4 linked regions of the Lepisosteus oculatus genome follow. The protein of the gene in region 2 purifies or fractionates together with the protein of the main gene of each other region. This does not show direct contact. Links are inferred from orthologs where the notes say so. Each region holds a gene or a part of one and is shown on either strand. Other genes may lie near its edges.

The links.
Region 1: the proteins of cul4a (region 2) and cdkn1bb purify together in Homo sapiens (affinity purification with western blotting; 5 studies listed by BioGRID, with this or other methods). This does not show direct contact. The link is inferred for Lepisosteus oculatus from reciprocal best matches to the Homo sapiens genes CUL4A and CDKN1B.
Region 3: the proteins of cul4a (region 2) and glmna purify together in Homo sapiens (affinity purification with mass spectrometry; 5 studies listed by BioGRID and IntAct, counting the BioPlex papers as one, with this or other methods). This does not show direct contact. The link is inferred for Lepisosteus oculatus from reciprocal best matches to the Homo sapiens genes CUL4A and GLMN.
Region 4: the proteins of cul4a (region 2) and dcaf11 purify together in Homo sapiens (affinity purification with mass spectrometry; 13 studies listed by BioGRID and IntAct, counting the BioPlex papers as one, with this or other methods). This does not show direct contact. The link is inferred for Lepisosteus oculatus from reciprocal best matches to the Homo sapiens genes CUL4A and DCAF11.

Annotation. Positions count from the first base shown.
Region 1 is NC_090702.1:5,914,505-5,921,671, forward strand, and holds the start of cdkn1bb (cyclin dependent kinase inhibitor 1Bb), read left to right. Parts: upstream 1-4,161; 5' UTR 4,162-4,463; coding exon 4,464-4,932; intron 4,933-5,499; coding exon 5,500-5,618; 3' UTR 5,619-5,628; intron 5,629-7,167. UniProt on the Homo sapiens protein: Important regulator of cell cycle progression. Inhibits the kinase activity of CDK2 bound to cyclin A, but has little inhibitory activity on CDK2 bound to SPDYA. Involved in G1 arrest. Potent inhibitor of cyclin E- and cyclin A-CDK2 complexes.
Region 2 is NC_090710.1:28,725,035-28,732,660, forward strand, and holds the start of cul4a (cullin-4A), read left to right. Parts: upstream 1-4,623; 5' UTR 4,624-5,396; coding exon 5,397-5,532; intron 5,533-7,626. Other genes in the region: pcid2 (PCI domain-containing protein 2), read right to left, coding at 595-698, 942-996, 1,586-1,625, 2,169-2,236, 2,571-2,644, 3,470-3,559, 3,724-3,759. UniProt on the Homo sapiens protein: Core component of multiple cullin-RING-based E3 ubiquitin-protein ligase complexes which mediate the ubiquitination of target proteins. As a scaffold protein may contribute to catalysis through positioning of the substrate and the ubiquitin-conjugating enzyme.
Region 3 is NC_090704.1:1,685,417-1,692,801, reverse strand, and holds the start of glmna (glomulin, FKBP associated protein a), read left to right. Parts: upstream 1-4,369; 5' UTR 4,370-4,457; intron 4,458-4,458; exon of another isoform or gene 4,459-4,519; intron 4,520-4,819; exon of another isoform or gene 4,820-4,840; intron 4,841-5,735; 5' UTR 5,736-5,778; coding exon 5,779-5,817; intron 5,818-6,071; coding exon 6,072-6,197; intron 6,198-7,314; coding exon 7,315-7,385. Other genes in the region: putative RNA polymerase II subunit B1 CTD phosphatase rpap2, read right to left, coding at 1,043-1,078, 2,003-2,091, 2,454-2,519, 2,656-2,754, 3,223-3,337, 3,715-3,760, 4,292-4,343.
Region 4 is NC_090699.1:14,359,673-14,366,607, forward strand, and holds the start of dcaf11 (DDB1- and CUL4-associated factor 11), read left to right. Parts: upstream 1-3,915; 5' UTR 3,916-4,151; intron 4,152-6,057; 5' UTR 6,058-6,066; coding exon 6,067-6,278; intron 6,279-6,935. UniProt on the Homo sapiens protein: May function as a substrate receptor for CUL4-DDB1 E3 ubiquitin-protein ligase complex.

The sequences.
Region 1 (7,167 bases), on a different chromosome or scaffold from region 2:
AAATTGCCTTTATTGCATTTATGCTTTGCACACTGAACAGTCACGTTGAGGCACGATGGTACATTTGAAAAATGTTTAATATTCTGATTTACCCTAAACTTTCAGTTATATATATATAACGATCAATGTTTTCATTTCTTTGGTACTGTCTATAGAATCCACTCCCAGGCACAATAAGGCACACTTTAAATTCTTTCCCCTTAAGAAAACATGTCGGAGCAGACAAATTTATAGCTTATTTTCTTGGGGGGTAATTTCCATACCGTTTTGTTTAATTTGCGATATGAAATGCACTCATCGTTTACAACTGTGTACTTTGGTAAAAGCTGACCAAATGTTATTCTATATTTACAATACAGTGAGACTTTTATTATGATAAACAAACATAATTATATATTGTAGATGCAGGCAACACAGTGGTACAGTGGTTAGCACTGCTGCCTCGCAGTGCTGGGACCCTGGGTTTAATTCCTGGGGTGCTGTCTGTGTGGAGTTTGCATGTTCTCCCCATGTTCACTTGGGTTTCTTTCCAAAGTCCAAAGACATGCTGGTAGGTTAACTGGCTTCAGGGGAAAATGGTGCGAGTGTGTGTCTGTCTGTGCCTTATAATGAACCTTTGTCCCATCCAAAATATAACCCTGTACTGGATGAAGCAAACGGATGGCTGGGTTTTACAAGACCTTTATTCTAATTTCTAAAATAATCTATTGTGCAGAAAACAAACAAACAAAAAACATTAAAAGGTCAAACTGCATCCAAGGAGTAAATAATACAGAACAAGACATGTTATGACAGCCTATGGTCAAGAGATTATAATGCCGAAGCTAGAAATGCAACTCTTAACACAGCCTATTGAACTGTAGCCTACAACAAATAATGTGCCCGTAAAAGACATGTTGTTGAGAAAAAAGCAAATCGATATTTGCCTGCATTTCCTTGCTCCTAAAAGATCAATTCAGCATGATCAGCATTCTTTCCCCCCAGGGCATTACCTCATCTCACATGTTCTTCTGCACGTCAACTTTATGACCTTGTAAACTCTTTGAGTAAACAACACGCACAATGCCTACTGTGTGCCATCATTATGGAGGAATATGCCAATATAAAAAAGTATTTACTGTAGCAAAGTTTAATCTGACAGTGATAAGACAGTGCCAAGTATGACGAGGGCTTTGTGCAAGAGTTGAGCACATACATAGCATAGCAAAGCTAACTCTGCCTATTGTAACAAAATCACATCAGTGCCGGATCTCCCATTAGGCACTGTAGGCACAGGGCCTACGAAACATTTTTAGGGCCTACGAAAGAGGGAAACACTAGTGACTAACGAAAAACGAGCTGAAACAACACGCTTGTGCTCGACTCGAGGTGCTCCAAATCAATAGTCATACTCTATCTAGCGGCTGTTCTCTCGACTCGCTCCATCAATCACGTGGTTTAGCATCAGAATAGTTTAAAGTACTGTCATGTCAGTCGGCGTCCTTCAATTGGCATTTATCCATCTTTTTGGAGTGAAAGTGCCTAGGGCCTACAAACACCAAACTCCAGCCCTGAAATCACATCGAAAATTAGTTCTGGTTTCTAATTTTATGGTGATGTACTGTGAACCAGTTGAAGTATAGTATGTATATTCTGTATATTCTGCAAAGGCAAATCCCACTTTGCTCTAAATTTATTGTTTTGCTTTTTGTGCCACTTACTTTACTTTGTACCACTTATTTCATTAAGTTAGATTCTAATTCTCTGTTGTACCCTTATGTAATATTCCCACTGAGAATTACTGCTGTTCAGTAGCGTAAAATGTTATTGATGCAGCACTGTAGCTACAGTATATTAATGCTCATTATTGGCACCACTAATCTGTAACTAAAACAACTGTCCTAAAGCTAACCTTATCCCTAGCTCTCAAACTAACAATGCATTTGCACACGACTGAATCATTGTTCCATTTCCTGTGCCAGCGACATTGACCTTTTGAACTGAACGATACTGAAGGCCAGATTCTTGTTAAATGGTAAAGTGTACAAATATATTTTTCATATAACTGGATGTGCAGCAGGTCCTGCAGTTTTAAAGTAAGAACAGAAACATTTATTTAGGTGTAAAATATGTCCACAATATTGTAAATTCTGGTAAAACTGGAATACCACCTATTAACAAGAGCTGGTGCTACAATCTCAATATATTTAAATCCACCTACACAAAGTTTTATCAAGTGATGTGCCTACACACTGTTTATACTTCTAACAGATAGAAAAATTTGGTTACTTTACATCACAGTCTCACACCACATTCTTAACAGCTCCAAAACAGATTTAACATTTTAACTGTTTCATTATTTGGTGTGTTAAAAGCTTTAAATTAATCCCATAATCAGTTTTTTTTTTCTGTATTCTGGAATATACCCTTGAAAAGACATCACAACTGCAACATGACATAAAACATGTTCTAAATGTAAATTTATAAACACGTGCCAAAGGGTCTCTTCATTTTATTTGAACCTGTACTCCTAAGGTCAATTACTTACTGACACAGCTTTAAATTGCTACCATCATCCACTCTTTAAACGTGACAGACCTCAAGTCAACAGTGCCAGTAGTATCACTGCAATAAAAAATATGTAAGTGACATCATAAACTTTTAACAGCAGTATTTAATTATCATGGTACATAATCTAAATAAGCATGAAACAGAAATAAGAAGAGAAACCAAATCACTCTAACATTCAACACGCAGAACAGATTCGAAATTGGAAACATTTGTTCCTAATTCTAGACCTTTGACTTTCCTGAAGTCTTTGCAAAGTTTTTCCCCCCTTTCCAAAATAATTTTTTACTAAATGTATTTATTTTTTTAGTTATGGGAGAAAGTGTTAGAACACGGTAGTTTTAAAGAGTGATAGTAGACCATTCTCTGAATATAGTACATTTATTATCCAAGGGATCTTTTAACGGGAAGCGTGAACCAAATGCTTTATGAGCGCCAAGTTCTTAATGAAGCTCATTATTTACTCATATGGTAAAACGGAACAACGCGTTGTTTGCTGCCGTGATACACTCAGTAACAGGTTTAGACTAAAAAGTCAATTTTATTACACAAAACAGCACAATTAATCATGTTCAATTATTGCATTGCCCGAGATTTTTACTTGCCACGGGAAACGTGACTCCGCCAAATCGTTTATTGAGCAAGGTTTTCGTCAATTAGTAGTGGACTAATAAAGGAAAAGTAAAAATGATCATTTCCACCGCATCCTACTGTACATTGGCACGGCACCATAAACATTGCATTACTACAGTTCAGCCGTACCCCTTTAAATCGACCCTAAAATGTGGCAGTCAAGCTAACAGCCTACTAATAACTGCCCCGTCTACCCAACCCATAGTATGATGGCGCTCAACCCTCTCTATACCTTTTTCTTTTTCGTTTCGTGGTTACTATTCCTTCGCCTGTATCACTCTCTCTGCTCGGGGAGTGACTTGCTTATACGTAAACAAAACACTTTAGATCATAGCAAGGTTGCTGCAGACACGCAGCCCCCAGTTTTCAAAAGCAACAAAACGCATTAAGGTGGACTAGGGGAGTTATCCCAAACCACCCGTTTCCAATCGCCTTTCGGGCGCCTTGTTTTGCTACAAAATGCAACGTGGTGCACGCCTGCGGAATTTATTCACGTTTAACACCTATAAGCCTTTGCTAATGCCAAGTCATGAGAAAAAAAAAACGGCTTGAGATTAGGGTCATTTATTCTTTCACGTCTCCAGAGTACTGTAGGTCAGTGGGAGATATTGCCCTTTTTTTTTTCTTCTGTATTAACGTTGTTGGTATCTGGAAGCGACTTTGCTTCCTCCGGCTACAATTCCTACTTCCGCCAAAACAAAACAAGCCTACCAAAGCTGGGCCGATCAGAAATCTGCGGATTTAAAGATCGCCGCGGAGGAATTTTTCCAAACGAACAAGAGATTCCGATGCATTTGGGCTTTTTTTTTTTAATGATACGAAGCTGCAGAGACCGTAGAAACGAAAAACAGCGGTGCTCACCTTAAGAAACGTGGGCGTCTCGCTTTGCTTTAACCAATGAATCTCCTTCTCTGTTTAAGTCGATCTCGGTGTCAATCATTTTTTTTCTCAGTCAGCCTCCCTTCAATCGCCATATTGGGTACTGAAAAGGCTTGTCTGTTTTTTTTTTCCCCCCCGTCTTACTACAAGACTAAATTGACAGGAGTGGCTTTTGCAACTGCACTTTGTTTTGATGGTCTGCGGAGATTACTTTTGCTCGCGTTACAGTTTTCGCACGTCTTTTTCAGATCACGGCATGCCTGCGCTGGCGTTGTTGCTTGCAATAATATTTGGCGTTCGTGTCGGATCGATTTGAAGGAGGCGAACAGAATTATATATATATATTTTCATTTACTCTTGTTGTTTTTTTTTTCCCCCTGGCGTGGAGAGAGAGGACAAAAAAAATGTCAAATGTCCGTCTTTCAAATGGTAGCCCGACGTTGGAGAGGATGGATGCGAGACCGTCGGATCACCCCAAGCCGTCGGCTTGCAGAAACCTCTTCGGGCTGGTGGATCACGAAGAGTTAAGGAGAGATTTAAAGGGACACTTGCAGGAGATGGAAGAGGCGTCCAAGGCGACATACAATTTCGATTTCGCGAATCACAAGCCCCTTTCGCCTGGGAGATACGTGTGGGAAATTGTGGAGGATACGGAGGTACCGCGATTCTACACGAAGCCGTCACGGGCGTCGAAGGGCATCTGTCCGTCTGGGAATATCAGTTTGGATCTTAATGGGAATCACAGCTGTGGGGGGACTGCGTGTCACGAAGGCACTGGGGACAGGCTTTCCGGGGACAGTGCGGAGAAACCGGCAAGTCAAACGGATTGCAGGGACCAGCGCACTACGCCGAGGAAAAGATCAGCAAGCCATGGTAGAGATCAGCTTCACGTTTACGAGAAAACAAAACAACAATAACAACAACAGCAAAAAAAAAGATATCGGGTGTATTTATTTTGGGTCGCCGATCTCACGGTTTCGGGAAAAAAAAGTCCAGATTTTAATTTTTTGTTTTTAAAGTGAAAGGCGTTGCGCGCATTCGAGGAGGTTTTCTTTTGTTTTCGTCTTGTATCTTATTTGATGTCGCGCTAATCGGAGCCGCGTCGGAGTGTTTCCGAGAGGCGAGTGGAGTTGCGTGCGTTTCGGGGGCGACCCGAGCGCAGGCACGTATCGCATGTCCGGCTGTTTTTCGTATTTTGTTTTTCATTTTTGGAGGTTTAAATGCACACGTAGTTGTGACACCGTCACATCCCCCCCCCACCTCCCACCCTTGCTGTTTTTGAAAGGCTTTTTTACTACGGCATGCAAATCCTGCGGTGGCGTGCGGGCGTCCAATTTTGAGACGGCGGACCAAAATACCGCCTGCCCGCCTCTCAAATGGTTCTGTTAAAAAAATAAATAAGAAATGCTAATCGGTGAATTTTGTCTTTCCTTTTTGTAGCGGACTCATCGCAAAATAAAAGGGCCAATACTACCGTGGATGAAGTTGCCCTGAGCCCTAATGTAACGAGGTCAGAGGAACAAACGCCCAGTAAATCCAACCCCAGGCAACAGAAGTGAAGATTTTAAGGTACCTTCTCGTCATTTTAATGTCTTGTAAAAAACTATAAACGTTTTCGCAGACGTAACTCACTACCGCGCCGCTTTAAAAAAAAGCTTTATGTTTCCCTGAACTGTCATTTTCTGGAAAATCTAGTCGCGTTGTCTCTAAATTGGTCAGGACGTTATGGTTGATTTCATTAGTGCATTAGTGTATGTTTCTCGTCGGCCGTCGCTAAACAACAGTGCTGTAGTACAGTTTGTAGTTAAAATAAATACATTTGAAATATGCCTTTAAAACTGTTACGGGGCTGTTTTTTTTCCCCCAAAAAAAAACGTTTTTCGTAGTTTTCGGGGAATGGTTAATACACAGCAGGTGCAGTCGAATTAAATTCATCTCTGGGTTTTTAGTGCTAGGCGAGTCTCATCCTGAAGAAGAACAGGCCAAAAACCTAATGCAGGCATAGAAAACTTAGGGCGTTAAATTTAATATTGTCTTGGATTTTGTTGGTGGAGAAACAGTGGTGTTGTCCAGGGGGGCTTCGTGTGTTCTCGCTGTGGGAGGGAGCGGGTTAAAATTTGCTGCGCCGCTTTTATATCATCCATTCAGAAAGGATGGCCGGGGGTGGGTTGTGGGGGGGACGGGACGGACGCTGGAGACATTTCAGCTCACGATCACTTGAAACACAGACGCAAACGTGTAAAAAAGGGGTTAAAAGCAAACAGATCTGACGTGTTAACTCAAGAGCGCTGTTGCCCTCCGAGAGTGAGCTCCCCTCGTATCTGTAAACAAGCGCCTGCACTGAACAACAGTAGTAACACGTCAGCAAGAGAGGCTTTGACTGGTGAAGGGGTTGGCCCAGTTTTCTTGCTTCTGTACCTGTTCCAATCTGAGAACGGCAGCGAGCACTTTCGCTCACAGACCGCTCCGTGCGTGCTTGCAAAGTAAGGTTCGCCAGTAAGGTACTACGAAAGTATTCACATTGCATCTGGGTGCGTACTTGTGAACCTTCAGAGGTTATAAATCATTGTGCGAACTGGTTAGCCAAGAAAGTAGAGATGTCAAATAAACATAATAGTGCTTTTGGGGAGATGCAACTGTTATTTATTTTTTTTTGTTCCAGGCACTTATTTTTAAGTGATTTTTAAAGGCTGTGATAAACAGATTTTTTTCTTTTTATTGTTGGGAGGCAAAACAGTGTCCACAGCTAATTGCTTTGCAACAAGTTTTATGTGAAATGTAATTGGATTGGATTGCAAATCTGTTTTATAAAAAGTGCCCCAGTTGGAAGATTTGATTTTTTTTTAAGTTTTGGGGGATAGAACCCTAAGGTAGGGATTTGATTTAATTTAGTAGCCTCCTTTTGTGTGCAATTTTTATTAAAGGAAACTGTAATACAAACTTGTTCTTAAGTGATACACAGATCAGTATTTTGGATCCTTCTTTGATTTCATTCAAAGTGGCTTAAAACTCCAGAGCACTGTGTCAGAGGATTGCTTACAAAGATTGAAAGCCTATTTTTCAGTTTGGTGCTAACGTGTCGTGATGCTGAATATCATGTTTTCTCTT
Region 2 (7,626 bases):
ATGCTTTCGTTTGAAACCTTTTTTGTCACAGTAACCCAAGTCATTAACTTGTAATAAACCGTCAAGGTTGATGACAGCATTTTGGCTGACCCTGCACACCGGTTAAAGCTCCAACATGTGTAAGAGCTGGGAACAGACTGTTCACATTGGTCTTACTATGATGAAGTCAATGCAGGGTTTGACTGTGTAACTGCGGGCTCCACTGGAATAAAATCCAGCAGGTGTGAAAGTCACCAGGACCAGGACTTGGAACCGCTGCCCCTGGGTATCGGAAAAGGCTCAATTCTAGAGAGAATTCTAGAAAGAAAAGCTCCGAGACTGCACACCACTGCTATATGAAGTCTACTGTTCCCCCCCACACACAGCAGAAAAAAGAGCTACCAGAAGACAAAAACCCACAAATCAATAAGACACGTTCCTAGTTCTGGGGAGCTGCGTCAGCATGCGTGGGCTGCAAAGGAACGAGTAAAGGTCTATTCCGTGCCGAAAAAGGAAAGAGACAAAGCGCTTCGGCCGCGGAGCCTTCTTCAGGCGGGAGTCTGCTCTCCTTTTCAGCACGAAACGAGGAAACGACGCGCAGCGAGCGGGGCTTACTTGTCGCTGGCACAGATGCGGAAGCAGCTCATGAGCTGCTCGGCGGCCTTTTCCAGCATGTCCCCCACCTTGCCCTTGCCCTTCTTAGCCAGCTGCTGCTCCGCCTGGGGAAGGCACACACATTTTCTGCTCCCTGCGGGCGGACTGCGGCGCGAGATTTCCAGCCGAGAAGTCGCCCCCCCCTCCCCCGAGCACTCGATGCTGCTCTTGGCCCAGTGAACACCGCGGATAACACTTTCCTCACCTCTACTGCACTGCCCCACGGAAGAAGACTGCAAAGAGTGCTTTCACTGAACACCAGCTACGGTCACATCACGAAAGAACACATTTACAGTACAACCACTTACATTGTTGGCGAAGATGCGGAGGTCTAATCCCACTGCATACATTATTGGCAGGGCCCTGGAAAAAACAGGCTAAATAAGAGACCAAAGACTAAGGCCACAGAACTCAACGTAAGAGGGGGATTATGGCATCAGTTGAGTTCAGGTTAGGGTTACTACTACAATTACTGCTTGGTCTGGATCTCCAGAAAACAGAAATAATGGAGAGAAACTAGAAAAAGATGTAAGGAGCACATGAAGCCCAGCTCTGAGGCAGGAGAATGGAAACTGCCCATTCTGTCTCAGTGGACTCACAAGAGAAACCTTCCCATAAGAAAGCAATTATTTGTCCGTGGATTTACTTTACTGCATATCCTTACTTGCACACAAACGTGAGCACTGCACCAAACTTTGAAAACTGCATCATTCAAATAAACTCAAGAAGAACCGAATGATACTCATACCTGCTGATGATGTGAGCCCAAAGTTACAATCTTGAGTATGTTGAGTTTGAAAAATCTTTGGATCAGTTGTCTGATTTTACATTTTGGCAAGCAACTGATGATTCAAAAATGTTACAACAATAAGAATGTATTATTCAAATAATGCCGGCATCAAGACGTTTGTAAAATGTGTTAAATGTATAGATGAGATTTGCTAGGTCTTACCAGTTTTCTTCCTTGTGAGCCTGGAATGCTTTTAAAAATGATGTAAAACATTAAGGAAAAAGAAGCAGCTGTTAATATCCAGGATTAAAGTGCATATCACAAATATCACTGCACTATAAAAGTACAGATTTGACACTGTGTCTAAATCTTTTCGCTCAAATTCAATGCATTTCTGAAGAATATTTTTCTACTGTATCACACAGAACAGCCACATTCACAAAATGCAAGACATTTATCTCGAGCTGCCAAGTGAATTATACGGTAGCTCTTTGTTACTGCTATTTGGCCGTGACAATACCATAAAGAGGTTTTGACAACATCCCGTGGCTTAAAAAGAATTGTATTGATGCAGCTTTTCGGTATGAGGTTGCATCATTATTTTGATGATGCCACAATGCTTTTTGGGGGCTTTCTCTGATGCAAATGATAAACTAATTCAATCAATCCTTCAGCAAAGGATTAATGTACTTATTCTCAGTAAAGTTCTGTTCACTGATGTAAATAGCATTCAAATGGTCTAAGATTAATTCAAAAAGTTTGCAGGTATTTGAAAGGTACTGCAAACCATACTGTATTAAAGGATATTGGACCACTACTGTCTGGCACTTGTATGCTTCCACAAAGTCATGATTTGCTACAGCATATGTACACCTGGAATGAGAAAGAAAAGGACACAAGGTCTGGATTAACAGAAGGATTACAGCATCCTCAAGCAAATACTTAATTCTGTGCTACATTCCCACTGAAAGCAACTCCAAATCTGTTGTACTGACGTTGTTGGGCGTTATTTTGTGAATTTCAAAACTATTTGTTTCTGCATGACCAGCATAATTCAGAATAATGAACAGACTGCCTAAGCTTCTTTGACAACCCACCTCTTGGTCAGCTTTAATTTGACTATGTCACTGTGCAATTAGGCAGACCCTAGGATACTGTGGCACTTAGATACACCACAGTACCAGGGCCTTAAATCCTCCCGCCTTACCTCAGATGTGCTGCAACCATTTCATCATGGGGGGGTTCAAGGACCTGCTGGCACTTCTCCTCGGGGCTGGGGAGCTAAGAATCAAGAATTAGCACAGTGACACGTACAGTACCATCAGCCCACACAAGCCCCTGTATTTTGGCCTGTATAATTCAGAAGTTTCCCAAGTGCGTGAAGGGAGTTTTGATCTCTTTAGTAAGTTAAATATATGGCCAGCTGTGGCCCATGAGAATGCAGGGCAATTGAATTTCCATTTCAGCTGATCAGTGAAGTACTTAACAAAACCCAGCTTCAGCAGTCAATGCAAATGTGTTCCAGGCATTCAGAGATTGTCAGGATACCCCACAAAGCCCGCTGGACTGAGGCTCAACAGAACCAGGGTTGGCCTGTCCATGACACATGACGCACATACGGTATATGAACATAAAAGACCTGCAGTGTGTGCCACTACGAGAGGCCAAGATCATGCACATCATTGGGCAAGATCATCCTGAATCCTGCAGAGCACTATAGCCTCACCTTGGAGTCTTCCTATTAACCTATGTACAGTAAAATGCATTAACAGCCCCAGAGAGGGAAGAGAGAAACTGTTGCAACAAAACAATATATTAACGAGTTAATTTTAACGAGCACCTTAAAGGAATGGGCCACCTGGGACCCACCCCTGTCTTAGCTTGTACAGTACTCCAACTCTAACCTTAACCCAACTCTGAAGCTCAATGAACCCTTGCACCTCACTAGATCTACCCCAGTCCCTCACTCTGATTCACTCGGTGCTGCACACGCAGTCGTGTCACTGACATTGACTTGGCCAACGTGACCACTGAGCAGGTTGATGTTTCATCGCAGGTTCCTGGCAGCTGCGAGGGCCAGTACTGGGACAGTACAGAACATCCTACCTGAAGCCTGGGGTTGGCCACATGGGGGTGTTTGAATGACAAAAGCTCAGCACAGAATGCTCCGTCTCTGGTGTCGGTGGCTTCAAGTACCTGGCACGAAGGATGCAAAACTCATTTACAGCTCTCCTGCCATCCAGCCAGAAGAGGACACTGAAAGTCGAGGCAGAGTTATCTCACGATAAACACAAGTCTATCCTCATTCAAGCCTCATAACATATTTTTGAATAGCTGTAAGGTCGTAAATTACACAATACCTGCTGGAGGTACTGATTTATTGTTATGTGTGCCATTGAAGATATTCAAGCTGTTCTTTCCTGCGCTGATGTTGGTTCCGTGATGGAAAGCCTAATGAAAGAGGGAAAATAGTTTATTTTTTTTGTGAGACGACAAGCATGGACACATAATTATAACATCAACCAAAATTATTCACGAGATGCGTGATTTAAACGGATAGGAGGACACGGCTTCAAATACAAAAATCATCTTGTGGGTAAAATATGGATTACCCTAACGTTCTTCGCCATCCATATGTTTGCGTCTTTAACGCATGCTGCGTTTTCTTTCGCAGAACCAGGACTTTTTGCAAGTTTTTGGCACGACAACACAGTCATACCGTCAAGTCATTCAACGACGTTTGGAACCGTTGACGTTTCCAAAAAGAAAAAAAAAACCCCACCGGTAGCGATGCCTCCTCAGTTACACGGTCACTAGACGCGTTTTAATTTCAAGTTGGAGTACTCACTATTCGCATGAACACAACCCTGCACGTACTTTGCACTTCCAGTCCTATTTTTGTCTCGGCATCAGAGATGCTTCTCCGCGACGTGAACCGCTGCTGCACAGTCCTGCAGCGAGCAGGCAGGCGCGTAAGGTCATGCGCACGATCTGCTTCCTGTTGGCAGCGTCCATGACCGCGCTACCTGTTAAAGACACAGCATTCACAATTATACAGTAACTTTCAAACACTCTGATTGTGCCGTACAGCGCCGGGCGTTTTTTTTATTTTTAGTAAGGTGTATGCGAAGTCTAAAATGCATTCATGAAAGGTTCTGCTTGTGCTTAGGACGCCTTGCAAAATGCAAATGATGTGTGGTGACGGCGAATCTTAATGCTGTCATCCAGTGTGAATGGCTCAGATCACGTTTTTTTGCCTCAATATTGTCCGAGTTGGTGGCATCGCGTCCGTGTTCAGTATGCCCAATGAGTAAGTTATTCTAAGTCTTCTGAACGCGGTGTCCCCCCTTTTTAAAAGGACTGTAAGGATATAGCAGGAGCATTGCAAGATACGGAAAAACTGTTTCGGGGGGTTTTACAAGTCCAGACCTAAACTCTCTGGTGCAACTGTATCCCTTTAATTTCTTTTTGAACTACTGTCAAGTGCAGACTAGGAAAAAAAAATCCTCCCAAGATGCACTGGCTAGGAGGTGGAGAAAGAAGCCATTTTGTTGGTATTTGTTTTCCAAAGATGAAGCTGCTGAGATTGTTCAGTGGAGTTTATAGAGTGGAGTTTCCACATCCGTAAAGAACTGGCGATGGTATAATGACTAACTTTTTAGCGACAGAGAAGCAGGGAGTCGTGGATGTACCTGCCACAGACTGTAGATAGTTTTTGTCCTTTTTTTTTTTTTGCGCGTCGGTCAAGTGCAACGTACTTCTTGCTGCACCTATACGAGAATAAATTCATACTAACAGGTTCCAGGAGGCTCATGGCGAGGAAGTAATGTTGGAGGAGTACGTGACAAAAGCCCATTGTAGCGACCTGTCAAGGATCGGGCATTCGGGACACCGGACACATGCATGATATAACGGCAAGCCTAACAATTTTCCAAGAGACTTCCTCTAAGAGACACCATTACTCGGGCACTTTGCACCCAGTTCAGAGGAGGAAAGTCTTCGCTTGCGCTGTCCGTGCCCTCCATCTGTAACGATGGCAGAAGACATCCGCCACAGCACGAAGGCAAACTTCTCCGCGCTGGCCGAGCACACCAACGGCCTCACTAAAACTTCCACGCTCGCCTCCAAACCGGGGGCCTCCAAGAAACTAGTCATTAAAAACTTCAAAGGTAGGTCCGGCGGAGAAGGACGCGGGTCCGCAGGTTTGTCCGCAGCCAGGCTTGGCGACGGCTGGCAATTGGCACATGTGGGATAAACGGAATAAGCCCAGTTTTTTTTTAAAACAAAAAAAACGGTCTGGCTATAATGTATCCTTAAACATTTCTTTTGACAAAAAATAGTAAAAAATGTAGCCAACTACAGTAGGTTGGTTCTAAACGAGCTTGAGCTGTTCAGCGCTTCAGGATGACTTTAAATGCCCGGGATTGTAGTGGTTAACACTGGCGTGACTGAGCGTCGGTGAGGTGGTTGTTGTTTTTGTTTTTGTGTGTGTGTGTGTGGCCTTATTACATAACAGTTGGAAGTTAATTCCGTGCACATTCTAGAAAGGGTGCCGCAGAGGTCGCCATTCGTCCAGGCGGCACTCGTTATTTCCCAACTCGGCTTGAACTTCCTGGACGCCGTCCGGCGGAGCGGACCCGTCGCCCTCCTGCCTGCCGGGCTCGGGAAGGAGTCGCGGCTCTGAGCCCCCGCACCCGTCCCCGAAAACCGAGAAATCGTTGGTGTTTTTCCGCTCGTTTTACCTTCTTCACAAACCCGGCATGCCTCGCAGCCCGGGCTAAGAGCCACTGCACTAGAGAGGATGTTCGTGCAACGTTTACACATAGGGGGGTGTGTGTGAATTGCTCACATTTTCTTCTTCTTTTTCTTTATGTCCTCAATATACCCAATAATAGGGCCGTTTGTATTGAATGAGCGATGTAAACCTACACGAAGCTACACAGGTCAGAAGTTTCTCCAAATACATGAGCTTGTAGTGCGGTGCTGGACTCAGTGCAGCTACAGTACTGTACCTTATACCCAGCAACACCAGCACAATTAAGAGAGCACTTCTGTACATACATACACATGTATGGGCTACGGGCAGTCTTTTTTATTCCCTCCCAAAAGCTTCAATTCATATATTTTTTTCCGGAGACGAGAAACCAGACGGGTTCTTTTAATATTCGTTTGAGGCTTGAGGTCTTGAGGCTGGCCTGGATAAAACTCTGTTGGAAACATTTGACACCGTGTTGCGGTCAGTTTGCTGCCGACACGCTTTTCATCGCCTGCCCCCTTATAAACGTTACTGATTTAAGGACTGATACAAGGGATCCCTGGAAAATAATAATAGATACGGTAAAAGGTCTTGCCTTTCTGCATTTTTTGGTTTTTGTCAGTTAGTGACAAGTATTTTTGCACCCTCAACATCAGTGTTACTGATTTGTTACCGATTACTGAGCGCAGAGTCCCGCATTTGGTCAGGTGATGGATAACGAATTCTAGTTAATTAAGGACACGGGGGAAATACTGTAAGTTGTGTCCAGACGTTATGCAAATCCAGACAAACCTTACATGGACGAAGCTGGAATAACAAGTGTCCATTGAACCGGAATGCTACAAATGGAAAACGCAGAGGAAGGTGGAGATCCATTTTCCCGGCCGGTTCCTGCCCTGTTTTGAAGGCGAGGGGCCGGAGTGTCGGACGGTGCCTCGGGGTCCTGGCTCGCTTTCCTGCCGGTTATGGACACTTGGGGAAAGCAGCTTTGCACGCTGCAGAGCTGAAGCCGAAGAGGCACCCAGGTCGTGTCGCACCGTAAATGACTCTAGGGGATCATTGACGCGATTGACGGGCCAGTTCAGGCGGCGGCGTCTCCCTGTAGTAGTGGGGACTCCACACCTGCGTTTTTCTCGAAATGTCAGTTGCCTCTGTTCTTGTGTAAATACGTACTGTTTATTAGGCTCAGTTTCCTCTGAGAAAGTTAAATGATTAATACTCCGGCAACGCACCTCTGTTATAGTTCAGGTGGGTAGCTGCGTCAGCATGCGTAGACTGCGCATCTGTTATATAAACAAAACCAAAACAGATCCCCTCCGGAGTCCTTTAGCCTGTTGACTGTGGTTTCAGTGTGTCGCCAAGCTCCTCATACTGCTTCCGGGCATTTTCAGCTGATGGATGTTGTCGAAAGTGGGACGGAGTTAGTTATTGGCCTGGGAGTTACTGGTCAGGGGTCATTACCTGAGGATTATCTGGAAAGCCAACCAAAGTGGTTCACCTCTGAAGA
Region 3 (7,385 bases), on a different chromosome or scaffold from region 2:
GTTTGGCCGCCGCGGGCTGTCATCGCTGGGCAATAGCGCGGAGCGCCGCCCGCTCAATCCAACAGTTCAAACACGCCTCTCCTCCCATTCACCGGCAAATCTGGACGCGTATCCGAAAGCTCCCCGATCAAAAAAAGCAAAATCGGCTTTGTGTACAAGCGGGGCGCCACAGGAAGCCCGTGCTTGCTGTCGATATAGTGTTACACGGACGCCCGGGCCAGCTCAGCAGCTGAGGCACCTCGTCACGTTCCGGCGGCAGGGCGCATCGCAGTAACTCAATACTCTGCGATTCTCCTCTGCTCCAAACGCAGTTTTTCTTCATTTATTCGTTGTTTGTTCCCCCCCAGCTCACTGACTGGTAGCTCCCTTCGAAACGGGGACGGCGGCTGGGGGAACGGGTCATGTCCCTCCGAGTTTCGCACCATTTCGCGGCCATGTGCGTAAATATCTGCCCTGTGTGAGATCTGTTCACGCTGCTCATGTTTATGAGGAACTAAACTCTTGACAGTATGCCGCAAAGAAACGCAAAAATATCGACCAAGTCGGACGCCACTGAAAGCTCGCGATTTCCGGCAGTGCCGACAGCGTCGCCGAGCAATCCGAGAGGTATTGAACAGTATTACCGAGGTGATTGATAAAAGCGGGACCGGTTCGTGCGGCCGGAGGCGTCACTTTCGCCCAGGCCGCCGTTTCCATTTTAGAGCTCGGCGCGGAGTCTCGGTAGAACCGCACAACCGAGCCCCTTTAAAACAAGTGGAGCATTCCTTGTTCGATCAGACAGTCGGTTCAGGCAGCAGTGTTTTGCAACATTTTGAAAAGTACACTCATCTGAATCTCTTTTTGGAGTTGCGTTTCACGCCGTTTCACATTACACAGGGAAGTGGCCTCTCCAGTATGACCTCCACAGTAACAGGTTAAAATAGTCGACATACAGATTCATACTGCAGCCCTCAGAATAACTAGGTAACCAAAATGTTTCTTCTGACCGCCCCAGTACTTCCTCTCCCCTGACAGGAACAAAAGCGAGCTCTTAAATACATACCTCTCGCCCTGCTTCATTAATGTGACATCTGGGAAGCTACAACACAAAACGGAAAGGGTAAATAAGTTACTTCCGTTCAGCCATGAAACCAGGCAGCTTATATGCCAGCAGAGGGGAAACTGGCTTTGCAACAGGAGAAGGATGAGCTTTGAACTGAAACTGCAGGAGCAGTTATGGATCCGAGCTCATAACTGCAAGGCTTCAGCCTCTGCAGTTTCCTGAAACAAGATTTCTAGGTTCAAACCTTGGATGAGGCATTGAGGTCTGTGTGCGAGGCCTCTCACTTGGATTGTGAGAGTAAGCCACCAAGCTGTATCAATGAGTATAAAACTCGTTCTCTTTGCATAAAACCATCAGATAACCTAAATCAGAAGAAATCCCAAAGTACCACAACTGTTCCGGCAACAAAATGATGCCTTATGACGAAGGCCCTTTGACTGAAACACTGTTGAATTCGTCTTAGTTTTCAAAAACCTCTCCACTATAACATCACAATTCTGCACCTCTCAATGTAATGGTTTTGGGTAGCCTTGAGGTTTGTCAAACTGATCACAGATATAGAACCCGTCGATCAAAAAAAGAGAAGATCAACGGAAACAAAAGTACGATATCAGTGGTGTGGTTGACAATGACGATGACAAAATGCTATTAAACAGCAAAAAGCTGCTCTATCAATAAGAGCTGATGCATATCTATACAAGTAAGACACAGTGGAGCCTTCTGTCAGTCACTTGATCCCAGAGAAGGCCAAGGTTACTTTCTTAAAAACCGTTGAAAGGTAACAAATGAGAGGCCACTCGGCCCATCTTGCCTGTTGGACAGGGATTGACCCCGTCCATCTGCCTCGTGAAAGAAACTGGGGCGTTGGCACAACGACATGGCTGGGTAGCTGGTTCCACACCCACCCAAATCTGTGGAATAAAGAAGCACGTCTTTCTTGCACCGTGCTGCTGCCATTACCTCTCCTCTTCTCGCGACCACAGGGGAGTCTTGGGGATCTGGCCTTCGAAATACTTTGATGCTTTGTAACAAAAGTTACTGCAGAAACACTGAATGGGGGGAAAAAAAACAACTGTGTATCAAAACACAGGTCACACTTACATAGCAATTTATTTAAAAAAAATCATCCTTTATTTTCAGATACTTTCTGCAGCTTTTAGTGAAAGGAGACAAGAGGTGTTGCTCCCATTTCTTGCTGGAGAATCCAAAGTCTTTCACCTCCGAACTAAGAGGGGAGCACAAGACAGCACAAAGAGAGCGTCACGCACTCTTCAAGCACAGGACACAGGAGAGAACTCCGCTGTGTGTTCTAGAGTTGTCAAATCCACAAAGATTATGACAAAAAGCCACCCAAAACATTCTGCCGGAGTATTTTTTATTAAAAAAATCAAAACAAAATAAAGCACCTTACCTTCCGTTCTGTGATGTCATACACTTTATTCGTTCTGGTTGAAATTTTGTACTGCTGCTTGGGAACCTGTCATTATGAAAAAAGAAGATACATATATAGAGATTTGACAAAAGGGGATTTTAGAAGACGAACACATTTCTGGTAAACAAAAGAGACAATGTTTAATGTCTCATAGATGTGTCTGAGCAGTGTGAGGTCTTACGTTCACAAGTTTGTTCTGACAGACAGGGTAGCCACACAGCTTGACTATAGATCTCTCGTCCACGACGTCTCTGTAGTTTCCTGGAGTAATGGACTTTGCCTGGAATGATAAATAGTGACCCATTAGGCAGACGGGCAGCAATTTTGCACTACATTACACACACTGCTCCAGATGCGTCTGTGCCACAGCTGTAGTGCAGGTCCGTTGGCCGCAGCTGGTAAACCTGACCTCCCCTCTGTGATGCACTCTCCGAGAGCGAAGGTCAGCCTAAACAGAGGCCAACAGACGGGGTGCGGAAGCCCTGCGGCCCCAGGCGAGCGACTCTCATCTTTTCATCCGGTCCGCTTCGGGAATCGGCCTCCCGCCACCTCGGATCTGAGCGCCATCACGCTCCCCACTCCCCCTCCCTCCGCCCCTCGCGCCCAGAGCAGCGTGGGGCGGGAACGTGGAGGCGGCCCCCTGCTCCAACCCCACGCTCCTCGCGGCACCTGTCCGCTGCGAGCCCGGGCCCCAGGGGGAGCCGAGGGCAGAGCGAGGCAGCACGCGGCCCCCCGGGAGGACACCCACGCAGCCCAGCAGGAAGTCCTCCGTCACGCTGTCCTCCAGCAGCTCCTCCACCAGGCGCAGGGCCCTCTGCTCCAGCTGCAGCTTCCTCCTCACGGCCTCCTTCAGGGCCTCCTTCCTGCGCGGGGTCAAAGGAAGGGGCTGTAAACCGAGGCCCAGGCTGGCTCAGGTACGACCGCTTCATCGCAAGGTATGGAGGGTGGGAAACAGTGTGAAACACGGTGCGGTTGAAACGAAATGGTTCTATTTCTGAGCCACCGAGTGCGGCTTTCATGTAGCAATGGTTATATCTGGAAATGAACGAAATAGACTAAATAACTTCACACTGAACCGAAGCCCGTGGAAGAACAATGGACATAAGACTGAGGGAAAGGAAGTAGGAGCCCCTTGAGGTACTGACTGTCAGAATGGGTCCCATTTCTGCTCAGTTTAAGTTTTCGGGTTTTTCACGTTGCTGTCATGTCCCAACACTGCACAAGCCCCGCAGTCCAGTACCTTTTAGCAGCTTCCAAGGCTGTCTGCGCCTTGACCGCTGTCCGACCTGCAAAACACACGCATTGGGTCACTGCTAACGGACCGGCCAAGCGCTCACACCTCCGCGGACGCGCCCTGCTGAGCACGGCCACGTGTTCCCGTCAATAATCAGGGAACAGAAGACCGTTCACTGTACGCGTCACGTCCGGATCAGCTGTGAAGGGCGTGCTGTGCGCCCGCGGGCTTTCGCGGAGGAGCTGCAACGCTGCCTTTAAGGTTGAACTCCAAGGCTCAGTTCAAAGGTCGCTACGAGGGGTAACACGTGTAAGAAACAAGACCTCTAGCACAATTCACGCACCCAGGAATGTGCTCTGCTTCGGTGTTTCGACAGTGGTCTACAGAAAAACGAAAACCTTATTTATACCTTCGGCTTCAGACAGAGAAACGGCGCACTCTGTGCTCCAGAAGGGGGTGTACTGGGCGGGGCAGTATTTCAACCCGTCCCTCTTAATCACTGAGCTCCCAGTGCCTGATGTGGCAGAGGTGAACAGCACAGGGGAGGGAGGGGGGAATAAAACTCTGCATTAAGCCGACTAACCTTTCTTTCCAGGTCCCGCTGACCTGCCGGCTGCTCCCCGACACTCTTCCATGCTTGTTGTTCTTCCGCTTCACCTTTGACCCGTGACGTAGGGCGCTACGGCTCGCGGACAGGGCCAGCGCCGGCGCGCGCACTTCCTAAATACACGCGCCGCTCCTGCCTGTCTGTAAGTACAGCGCCTTGCACAGAGCAACACCGTGTCTCTGCTCTCTGTCTGCTACACGATGGGTAATAATAGCTGGTAGTCAAATTAGATCATCAGTCACGCATGTGTCCGGGAAAGACAGAGGTCTGTCGTTTTGATACAGTTGCCCTGCCATGACAGCGCTTCTTTGTTTTGGTCTTTCGCGCAGCATCATGAAAATGTGGCGACATGCATTCGTGATATTTTTATCGTCCAGGATAATTAGGCGCAAATAAATCGTTCAGCTGTTTTTAGCCCATAGCCACGTGGTTGGCAGACTTTCGCAGACTTTGACGTGCATTCCAGACGCGAACTACGATCATCATGCTTTTCCACTTGATGATCTTGCTAAATATTCAGTCGTTGTGAGTTGTGTGCAGTGACTTGTTGTCTGTAACTGTTTGCAAATAATTGCTCTTTTCTAGATGTTTCCGGGGACACCGGGGACAGCTATTAGTCCATCTTTAGGACAGGCAGTGCTGCTCCGTGCTCGGTAAATCCTATTAATCCGCACACAATAGAAGGCAACACAGTAAGAGGTTTAAGACCTCTCTGCTGACCTTGTCGGTACCGGCTTTGCTTTCTGTAGACAGATTACCTGGGAATCGCCCGCAAGAGTAAAGAAACTTTTAACAAATATCAGGGAAAAAGAAAGACGGCGCTGATTAAAATGTGGTGTCTTGTACTTCTTTTATCAAACTATCGGAAGGAATAGGATAGGAAACTCTCCTCAGTTCAGAGGTCAAGACAGCTAACGTGCGTTGGCATGATTTGGCTTAAAACGTGTGACTGGGATCCACTAGGGGCAGTGCTGTGGGAATACGGGTATGGTGGGGTTAGTCGACTCTCTGTGACCCCGCGACCCCTGTGACCTCCCAGGTGCAGTTGTTGGGGGACACGTCCCCCCAGAGATTGCTGCTGAACCTCAGATATAGGGCTGTGCTGCTTGTACCCTGTTATAAACGCACAATTACATAAATCCACATCAGGGTGTCCAAGATCACTGGCGGTTATCATATTACAAATGTCTGATGTTTACATTTCAATTTCAGTTCACACAAAGACACGGTTCGAGTTGGGAGGTATTTCAGGCACCTGTGACTGTTCAGCATGTACGTCCAATCCCCCTCAAATGACACGCCTGTCCACATTTCAGGACAGCTGGCATGCGTTGACCAAATGTGGCTTAAAAGTTTGCGTTGAGCTCTGTGGTCACGGGTTCGAACCCGAGTTTCAAATGTCTCTTTTTAAACCCTGTAGGTGCTGGCACTGAGGGGGGCACCTGGACCTCAAGACGCTGAAGATGGCCTTAGAGCAGCTATATGACATGTTGCAGAGATGTGTAAGTACCGTCAATGAAGCGGTTCTGTAGTAATAGCTTTCACTGCTGAAAATAACTTTTTAAAAACTTTTCCCAGCCGTTTGCTTCAGTACCTGCTATTGATAAGATTCACTCAATAATTCCACCAAAGGAAACCTCTCAAAACTCTTAATTTCAAGATTTGGGATGACTCTTCTATGTCTGCGTAAGTCGATGTGCTGCTAATTTGGTGCTCCTCCAGCTTTACACCCTCCCTGCCTGCTCCCTGTCTGCAGCAGGTGCTGGCTGACGACAGCTTCAAGCCGGAAGACTACGAGCAGTTCCAGAGCGCGGGCCGGGCCTGTCTGGAGCGAGGGGGCGCGGCACAAGTGCTGGAGGTCGTGCAGGATGAGAAAAACAAGGTCCGCCTGCACATGCCGAGCTGAATGGTGCACGTTACGTCCAACTCCCGAGCAATACCGAAACAGAGCTCTGACAGCACTGGGAGCAAGGCTTTCAAGATGTCCCCACCAAAGTAGTTTGAAGGGGAGGAAAGCACATGGCTGCTCGGTACTTGTAGTGTCCCCTGAAGATTTCGGGTTCTAACAGAAAGGCATAAGAGCGCAGCACCTAGGCTTTGCTGCAGGGTTTAAGAACTGTTCCATGTGCCTGGCAGTGAGAGCCACAGCCTGCGCCATGGCTGTTACACCCTGCTGTTGATCCTGAGGTGCCAGCGGAGAGCTGCAGGAGAGTGTCTGATTTCTCGCTCCACTGGTGTCCTTCAAGGGTGCTCCAGTGTTAAACGGTTTTCTTGTATTTAAACTGCCTGGTGTTCTAATACTGGCTGTCTGCCTTTCACAAAGGAGCAGATGCTTTTAAAAGGCACATTTTCAAAATCCAATTGCTTCAGAGCACAAATCAGAGGTCTCTTAAAACACCAGGCTGTAATGGTAAGTCACTTATAAAAATGAGAAACGTCACATATGGCAGTGGATTGATTTATATTGAACGAGCAAGATTTTTGGTTTTCTGGAAACATCTTGCACATCAGAGGAGAGAATTAAAACCTGTGCCGCTGCTGTAGCAGGTGGGCTTGCAGCTTGTGAAGGGGAAACAATAGCAGGGAGACGCTGGATTTCTTAGCAGGGCTGAGAGGGATTCGTTCCAGGCCCTCCCTGAGGCGCCCGGGAACGAGGTGCCGACACCTGCTGTCGTATGTTTGAACCGGTAAATGTGCAAGTTTGAAGTGCAGGGGACCCATTAAGGCCCAGACACTGCCGGTTCGGGCCTGTTTCCGGATGACTGTGACAGGCGGTCCACCAGGAAAAGCCTGGCCAACAAGGCCAAGCCCCCTGCAGCAGGGCAGCGAGAGACACACAGCGTCTACAGGGGCAGGTCGGTCTCCGGTCAGGAGCCGTAAGAAAGGGCAATTTAGGATGGGGTGGGTACGTCATCAGAAATATTGGTGAATTAATGATTTGAGGAATTAAAAAAGGCGTCCGATGCGGCGTGGCCCTGAAGAGAACTGTCCTCTTGCAGGCGATCGTGAGGAGCATGGGCTGGAACCTGCTGGGCCCGCTGGTGCAGGTCATCTTGCAGAAGGATGAGAA
Region 4 (6,935 bases), on a different chromosome or scaffold from region 2:
AATGGTGGCCGAGTGATGTGAACCAGCAGACGTTCGATCTGATGTGATCTGATGTGATCTAAAATACTTTTGGATGAAAGTGCTACAGAATGGTGAGAGAAGTCTTTTGCGGGCTCCGAAGGAGTTCGGGTGTCTCAGACCACACCAGCGCTGTATGCGATTACTCCACAAGAAACTTGAGTTCATCGTCCAACGCAGTGGACTACACCACCAGACCCCCCACCATGGATCGCTGTGGGAATGATGTTTTTCAAATCAACAGTCATTTCTTTTGTTTCTGACACCTTTATAAAATAAGATACGATCACTTTATTGGCCCTATACAATCGCTTGCATTAGGAATTTGTCTTTTCCCAGACCCCAGCTTGTTCTCCATGAGACACACAGACAGGGGAAGAAGCTGGGGGTCAGAGCGCAGGGTCAGCCATTTGTACAGCACCCTTAGAGGGGCTGGGGTGAAGGGCCTGGCAGTAGGATTCCTCTGCCAGCCGTGGGATTCGAACCGGCAGCCTTCCAGTCACAGGCGCAGATCCTGAGCCACAGAGCCACCACACCACCCTTCATCTCCTGGTAAGAAGTATCAGACCAGTTGCCGAATTCATCCGGACTGGGTCTGTGTGCTCATCCAGGCTCTGAGAGGAGGGACACTAGTACACTCTCACCAGCAGGCCTGGTGATGTAATGATTTTCAGAGTTGCTTCGATGGCTACCGCCATCGCTATATAAGAGGAAGAGAAGGGGGAAATAGCACCGCCTGGTGGTGATCCAGCAGAACTACAAATGGAGTCAGAGGCCAAACCATTAACAGATACATTTTGTGTTTTATTGGCCAGAAAACTAACGATGCACATGATCAGCTGATGATCCCATCTGAAACCTGTGATTAGGTTTTCAACCAAAATGTGTGGCTGCATTGTGTGAAAGGCTGATGAGGACACAGCAAACACAAGTCTGGCAGCTGATTTATTCTAAGTGCTTATACAGAATCAATCAAAGGTTCAATCAATCAGTCGGAGTTTATTTATCAAACGCACAACAATACCACGTGCAGCAGTAGTTGCTGGCAGTGAAATGTCTGTTCTACAAGCTCACGGGGGGGGAATCACAAAATTAAAGTTGCAAAATAAGGTGAAATAATGATCGATAACAGTGCACTAGAAATTGAATGAGATAAAGTCAGACAGAGCTCAGTATAGATATCAATGGAGCTGCTCTGTGTCCAGGGTGTGTGCAGTACAGTGTGTCCCAGTAGTGCAGTTATGCTGAATACGGTGAAACTGTGTGTCCCTGTAGCCAGTACAGGTGATTTGCTGAAGGAGCTGCAGCTTGGCTGTTTAGCGGTCTTATTGCCTGGAGGTAGAAGCTGTTCCCTGATCTGTCGGACTTTGACCGAATGCGTAAGAGAAAACAGTTTGTGACTGGGATGACTGGGGTCCTCGAGAATGGACCTGGACTTCTAAAAGAAAAATCTTAGCATCATGGGCTCCCCTTCCAGGACAGCAGGCCAACTGGAGGGGGCCGGGACCTGACTGTACTGCGGCCATGGTATGGGACTGGCCTGCTTCTTCAAGAGTCCTGCTCGCTCATGGAGCCAGAGCTGTTGGCCTCAAGTCAAGTCTAGTCCTCTTAGGAACGGGTACGGGTGTCTAGAGCTTCCGAACAGCCCACTGCCCACCAGACAGCACCAGTGTCTACAGCAGGGGCCCCCAGTCCTGGATTAATAATAATAATAATAATAATAATAATAATAAAATAATTCCTTACACTTATATGGGACAATGTGCAGCTGGATGATGAGACAGCAGCTAGACCAGTGTCTACAGCAGGGGCTCCCAGTCAATTATTATTATTATCATCAACAATAATAATAATCTGTTATTGCTGTAGACTAGTGTCTACAGCAGGGCTCCAAGTCCTGGTAAAAGAACAACAATAATAATAATAATAATAATAATAATAATAATAATAATGTCTCCTGCAGGGGCTCCATCACACCTGAGCTGGACTGGTGTCCTGTCCAGGGTGTGTGTGTGTGTGTGTGTGTGTCCTGTGATGGACTGGTGTCCTGTCCAGGGTGCGTGAGAGTGTGTGTCTGTGTGTGTCCTGTGATGGACTGATGTCCTGTCCAGGGTGCGTGAGAGTGTGTGTCTGTGTGTGTCCTGGGATGGACTGGCGTCCTGTCCAGTGTGTGTGAGAGTGTGTGTGTGTGTGTGTGTCCTGTGATGGACTGGTGTCCTGTCCAGGGTGTGTGAGTGTGTGTCTGTGTGTGTCCTGTGATGGACTGGTGTCCTGTCCAGGGTGTGTGAGAGTGTGTGTGTGTCCTGTGATGGACTGGTGTCCTGTCCAGGATGCGTGAGAGTGTGTCTGTGTGTGTCCTGTGATGGACTGGTATCCTGTCCAGGGTGTGTGAGAGTGTGTGTCTGTGTGTTTCCTGTGATGGACTGGTGTCCTGTCCAGGGTGCGTGAGAGTGTGTGTCTGTGTGTGTCCTGGGATGGACTGGCGTCCTGTCCAGTGTGTGTGTGAGAGTGTGTGTGTGTGTGTGTGTCCTGTGATGGACTGGTGTCCTGTCCAGGGTGTGTGAGAGTGTTTGTCTGTGTGTGTCCTGCAATGGACCCATGTCCTGTCCAGGGTGTGTGAGAGTGTTTGTCTGTGTGTGTCCTGCGATGGACCCATGTCCTGTCCAGGGTGTGTGAGAGTGTGTGTGTGTCTGTGTGTGTCCTGTGGTGGACTGGTGTCCTGTCCAGGGTGTGTGAGAGTGTGTGTCTGTGTGTGTCCTGTGATGGACTGGCGTCCTGTCCAGGGTGTGTGACAGTGTGTGTGTGTGTCCTGTGATGGACTGGCGTCCTGTCCAGGGTGTGTGAGTGTGTGTCTTTGTGTGTCCTGTGATGGACTGGCGTCCTGTCCAGGGTGTGTGACAGTGTGTGTGTGTGTGTGTGTGTGTGTGTGTGTGTCCTGTGATGGACTGGTGTCCTGTCCAGGGTGTGTGAGAGTGTGTGTCTGTGTGTGTCCTGTGGTGGACTGGTGTCCTGTCCAGGGTGTGTGAGTGTGTGTCTGTGTGTGTCGTGTGATGGACTGGTGTCCTGCCCAGGGTGTGTGAGAGTGTGTGTCTGTGTGTGTGTCCTGTGATGGACTGGTGTCCTGTCCAGGGTGTGTGAGAGAGTGTGTCTGTGTGTGTCCTGTGATGGACTGGCGTCCTGTCCAGGGTGTGTGAGAGTGTGTGTCTGTGTGTGTCCTGTGATGGACTGGTGTTCTTCCTTGTGGCCCTTGCCTGCTGCAGCTCTCCCACACGACCCTGTACCTGATAAAGTTGGATGGAACACAAGACAGGTCTCAAACGAGACGAGGCCACTCGGTTCATCCAACCTGTTTGGTAATTAGTTTTGTAATTAGTGGCTCATTAACCCCAAGATCTCATCCAGCTGTTTCTTGAGAGCAGCCAGGGTATCGGCTTCAGGAACATGGCTGGGCAGCTTGTTACACACTCCCACCACTCTTTGTGTAAAGAAGGGAAAACTCATAGGCTTCTCTATTTGTCAGTGTACGAAACTGTCAAACCCCAGAATGTATCAGGTTGCAATATCTATTGCACATTGTCTGATGAATTTAAATTAATTGCACTTATGTATCACATTTCAGTTAACTCTTGAATTTGTTACCAGAAAAGAGGAAAAATAAATTAACTGGACCGTATCCTTCCACTTACTGCGAGGTGACGTCAGGATCAGCCAATCACCGTGTGGGATGCGGTGACAGACGGATTGATGTCACTTCAGAGAGTGACAGTTCTGGAGCTCCGCTTCCACCCGTCGGACGGCCATTTTGGCTCCAGTTTCCAACTGCGCGCTGGCAATCCATGTCAACGAGGAAGCAAAATGGAGCCCTTCGGTGGCTGGGTGTCCTTGGCGATGGGCCGGTCATGTGACCGCGGCGGGGGCAAAGCTCGTCGATGTAAACAACATGGCGACTCGGAGAGAAAAGACCGGGGCCTACCTGGGGATTATTCCTTAACGTAAACTCAAGCAGTGACAATAAAAAAAAACCCAAGCAGTATCGATTCGCTAGTATTGATAAGCCTATTGATTGTTAAAGGAAGAACGTGCAAGACAACAACGCGATCCGCGAACGAAGCCCTAAATACAAATTTCACCAGGTACTGTATTTTCTATTTATCTGTTGAGTTTCTTGTTAAGTGTTCATTGAGCCTTTTTATGATTGTCATTTTCGGAAGGGGATTAATTCACTGAAATAGACGCGAGTCTTCCCGTGTCGTCGGTGTAACATAACGATACATTTAATTTGATTAGATAATTAGCTTGGTTAATTAGTCGAGGAGTATAAGGAAAGCATTTTGACACTGAACAACTGCCGTTTCGATTTTGGCGAGTGAGGAAACTAGACGAATTACTGATTAACCCCTCTCTCCCAGTGCAGTGTTAATGTACTGGAGTGTCCAGTCAGTCAGTGTGTCTGTATGAACCCCTCTCTCTCAGTGCAGTGTTAATGTACTGGAGTGTCCAGTCAGTGTGTCTGTATGAACCCCTCTCTCTCAGTGCAGTGTTAATGTACTGGAGTGTCCAGTCAGTCAGTGTGTCTGTATGAACCCCTCTCTCTCAGTGCAGTGTTAATGTACTGGAGTGTCCAGTCAGTCAATGTGTCTGTATGAACCCCTCTCTCTCAGTGCAGTGTTAATGTACTGGAGTGTCCAGTCAGTGTGTCTGTATGAACCCCTCTCTCTCAGTGCAGTGTTAATGTACTGGAGTGTCCAGTCAGTCAGTGTGTCTGTATGAACCCCTCTCTCTCAGTGCAGTGTTAATGTACTGGAGTGTCCAGTCAGTGTGTCTGTATGAACCCCTCTCTCTCAGTGCAGTGTTAATGTACTGGAGTGTCCAGTCAGTCAGTGTGTCTGTATGAACCCCTCTCTCTCAGTGCAGTGTTAATGTACTGGAGTGTCCAGTCAGTGTGTCTGTATGAACCCCTCTCTCTCAGTGCAGTGTTAATGTACTGGAGTGTCCAGTCAGTCAGTGTGTCTGTATGAACCCCTCTCTCTCAGTGCAGTGTTAATGTACTGGAGTGTCCAGTCAGTGTGTCTGTATGAACCCCTCTCTCTCAGTGCAGTGTTAATGTACTGGAGTGTCCAGTCAGTCAGTGTGTCTGCATGAACCCCTCTCTCTCAGTGCAGTGTTAATGTACTGGAGTGTCCAGTCAGTCAATGTGTCTGTATGAACCCCTCTCTCTCAGTGCAGTGTTAATGTACTGGAGTGTCCAGTCAGTCAGTGTGTCTGTATTAACCCCTCTCTCTCAGTGCAGTGTTAATGTACTGGAGTGTCCAGTCAGTCAGTGTGTCTGTATGAACCCCTCTCTCTCAGTGCAGTGTTAATGTACTGGAGTGTCCAGTCAGTCAGTGTGTCTGTATGAACCCCTCTCTCTCAGTGCAGTGTTAATGTACTGGAGTGTCCAGTCAGTGTGTCTGTATGAACCCCTCTCTCTCAGTGCAGTGTTAATGTACTGGAGTGTCCAGTCAGTGTGTCTGTATGAACCCCTCTCTCTCAGTGCAGTGTTAATGTACTGGAGTGTCCAGTCAGTGTGTCTGTATTAACCCCTCTCTCTCAATGCAGTGTTAATGTACTGGAGTGTCCAGTCAGTGTGTCTGTATTAACCCCTCTCTCTCGGTGCAGTGTTAATGTACTGGAGTGTCCAGTCAGTGTGTCTGTATGAACCCCTCTCTCTCAGTGCAGTGTTAATGTACTGGAGTGTCCAGTTAGTGTGTCTGTATGAACCCCTCTCTCTCAGTACAGTGTTAATGTACTGGAGTGTCCAGTCAGTCAGTGTGTCTGTATGAACCCCTCTCTCTCAGTGCAGTGTTAATGTACTGGAGTGTCCAGTCAGTCAGTGTGTCTGTATGAACCCCTCTCTCTCAGTGCAGTGTTAATGTACTGGAGTGTCCAGTCAGTCAGTGTGTCTGTATGAACCCCTCTCTCTCAGTGCAGTGTTAATGTACTGGAGTGTCCAGTCAGTCAGTGTGTCTGTGTTAATTCCTGTCTTTACCTTTCTCAAAGTGTCGGTCTATGGGCTCTCAGTCCAGTTCTGGGATGTCCGGTCGGGCCTCCAGTGGTGACCCAGACGAGACAGAGCCAGAACGCAGCCAGAACCGGGGCCAGCAAAGCCGCAGACAGGCGAGGAGACAGTTGGACAGAGGGGCAGAGGAGCAGAGCGACAGAGGGTCCGCAGCAGAGGAGGACGTCGACTTAGCGCAAGTGCTGGCGTACCTACTGAGGAGGTAAGAGTGCAGCACTGTGTCTCTCACGGGCTTCCTGCAGGGACACTGAGTCTAGGAGAACAAACTGACACACTGTCCAGACATCCTGACACACTGTCCAGACACTGAGTCTAAGAGAACACACTGACACACTGTACAGACACACTGACACACTGTCCAGACACTGAGTCTAGGAGAACACACTGACACACTGTGTAGACACTCTGACACACTGTCCAGACACTGAGTCTAAGAGAACACACTGACACACTGTACTGACACACTGACACACTGTCCAGAAACTGAGTCTAGGAGAACACACTGACACACTGTCCAGAAACACTGACACACTGACTCACTGTACAGACACACTGACACACTGTACACAGAGTCTAGGAGAACACACTGACACACTGTACAGACACAGAGTCTAGGAGAACACACTGACACACTGTCCAGACACACTGTACACTGAGTCTAGGAAAACACACTGACACACTGTGCAGACACACTGTCCAGACATGCTGACACACTGTACTGACACTGTCAAGGAGAACACACTGACATACTGTGTGGACACACTGTCCAGACACTCTGACACACTGTACTGACACTGAGTCTAGGAGAACACACTGACACACTGTGTGGACACACTGTCCAGACACTCTGACACACTGT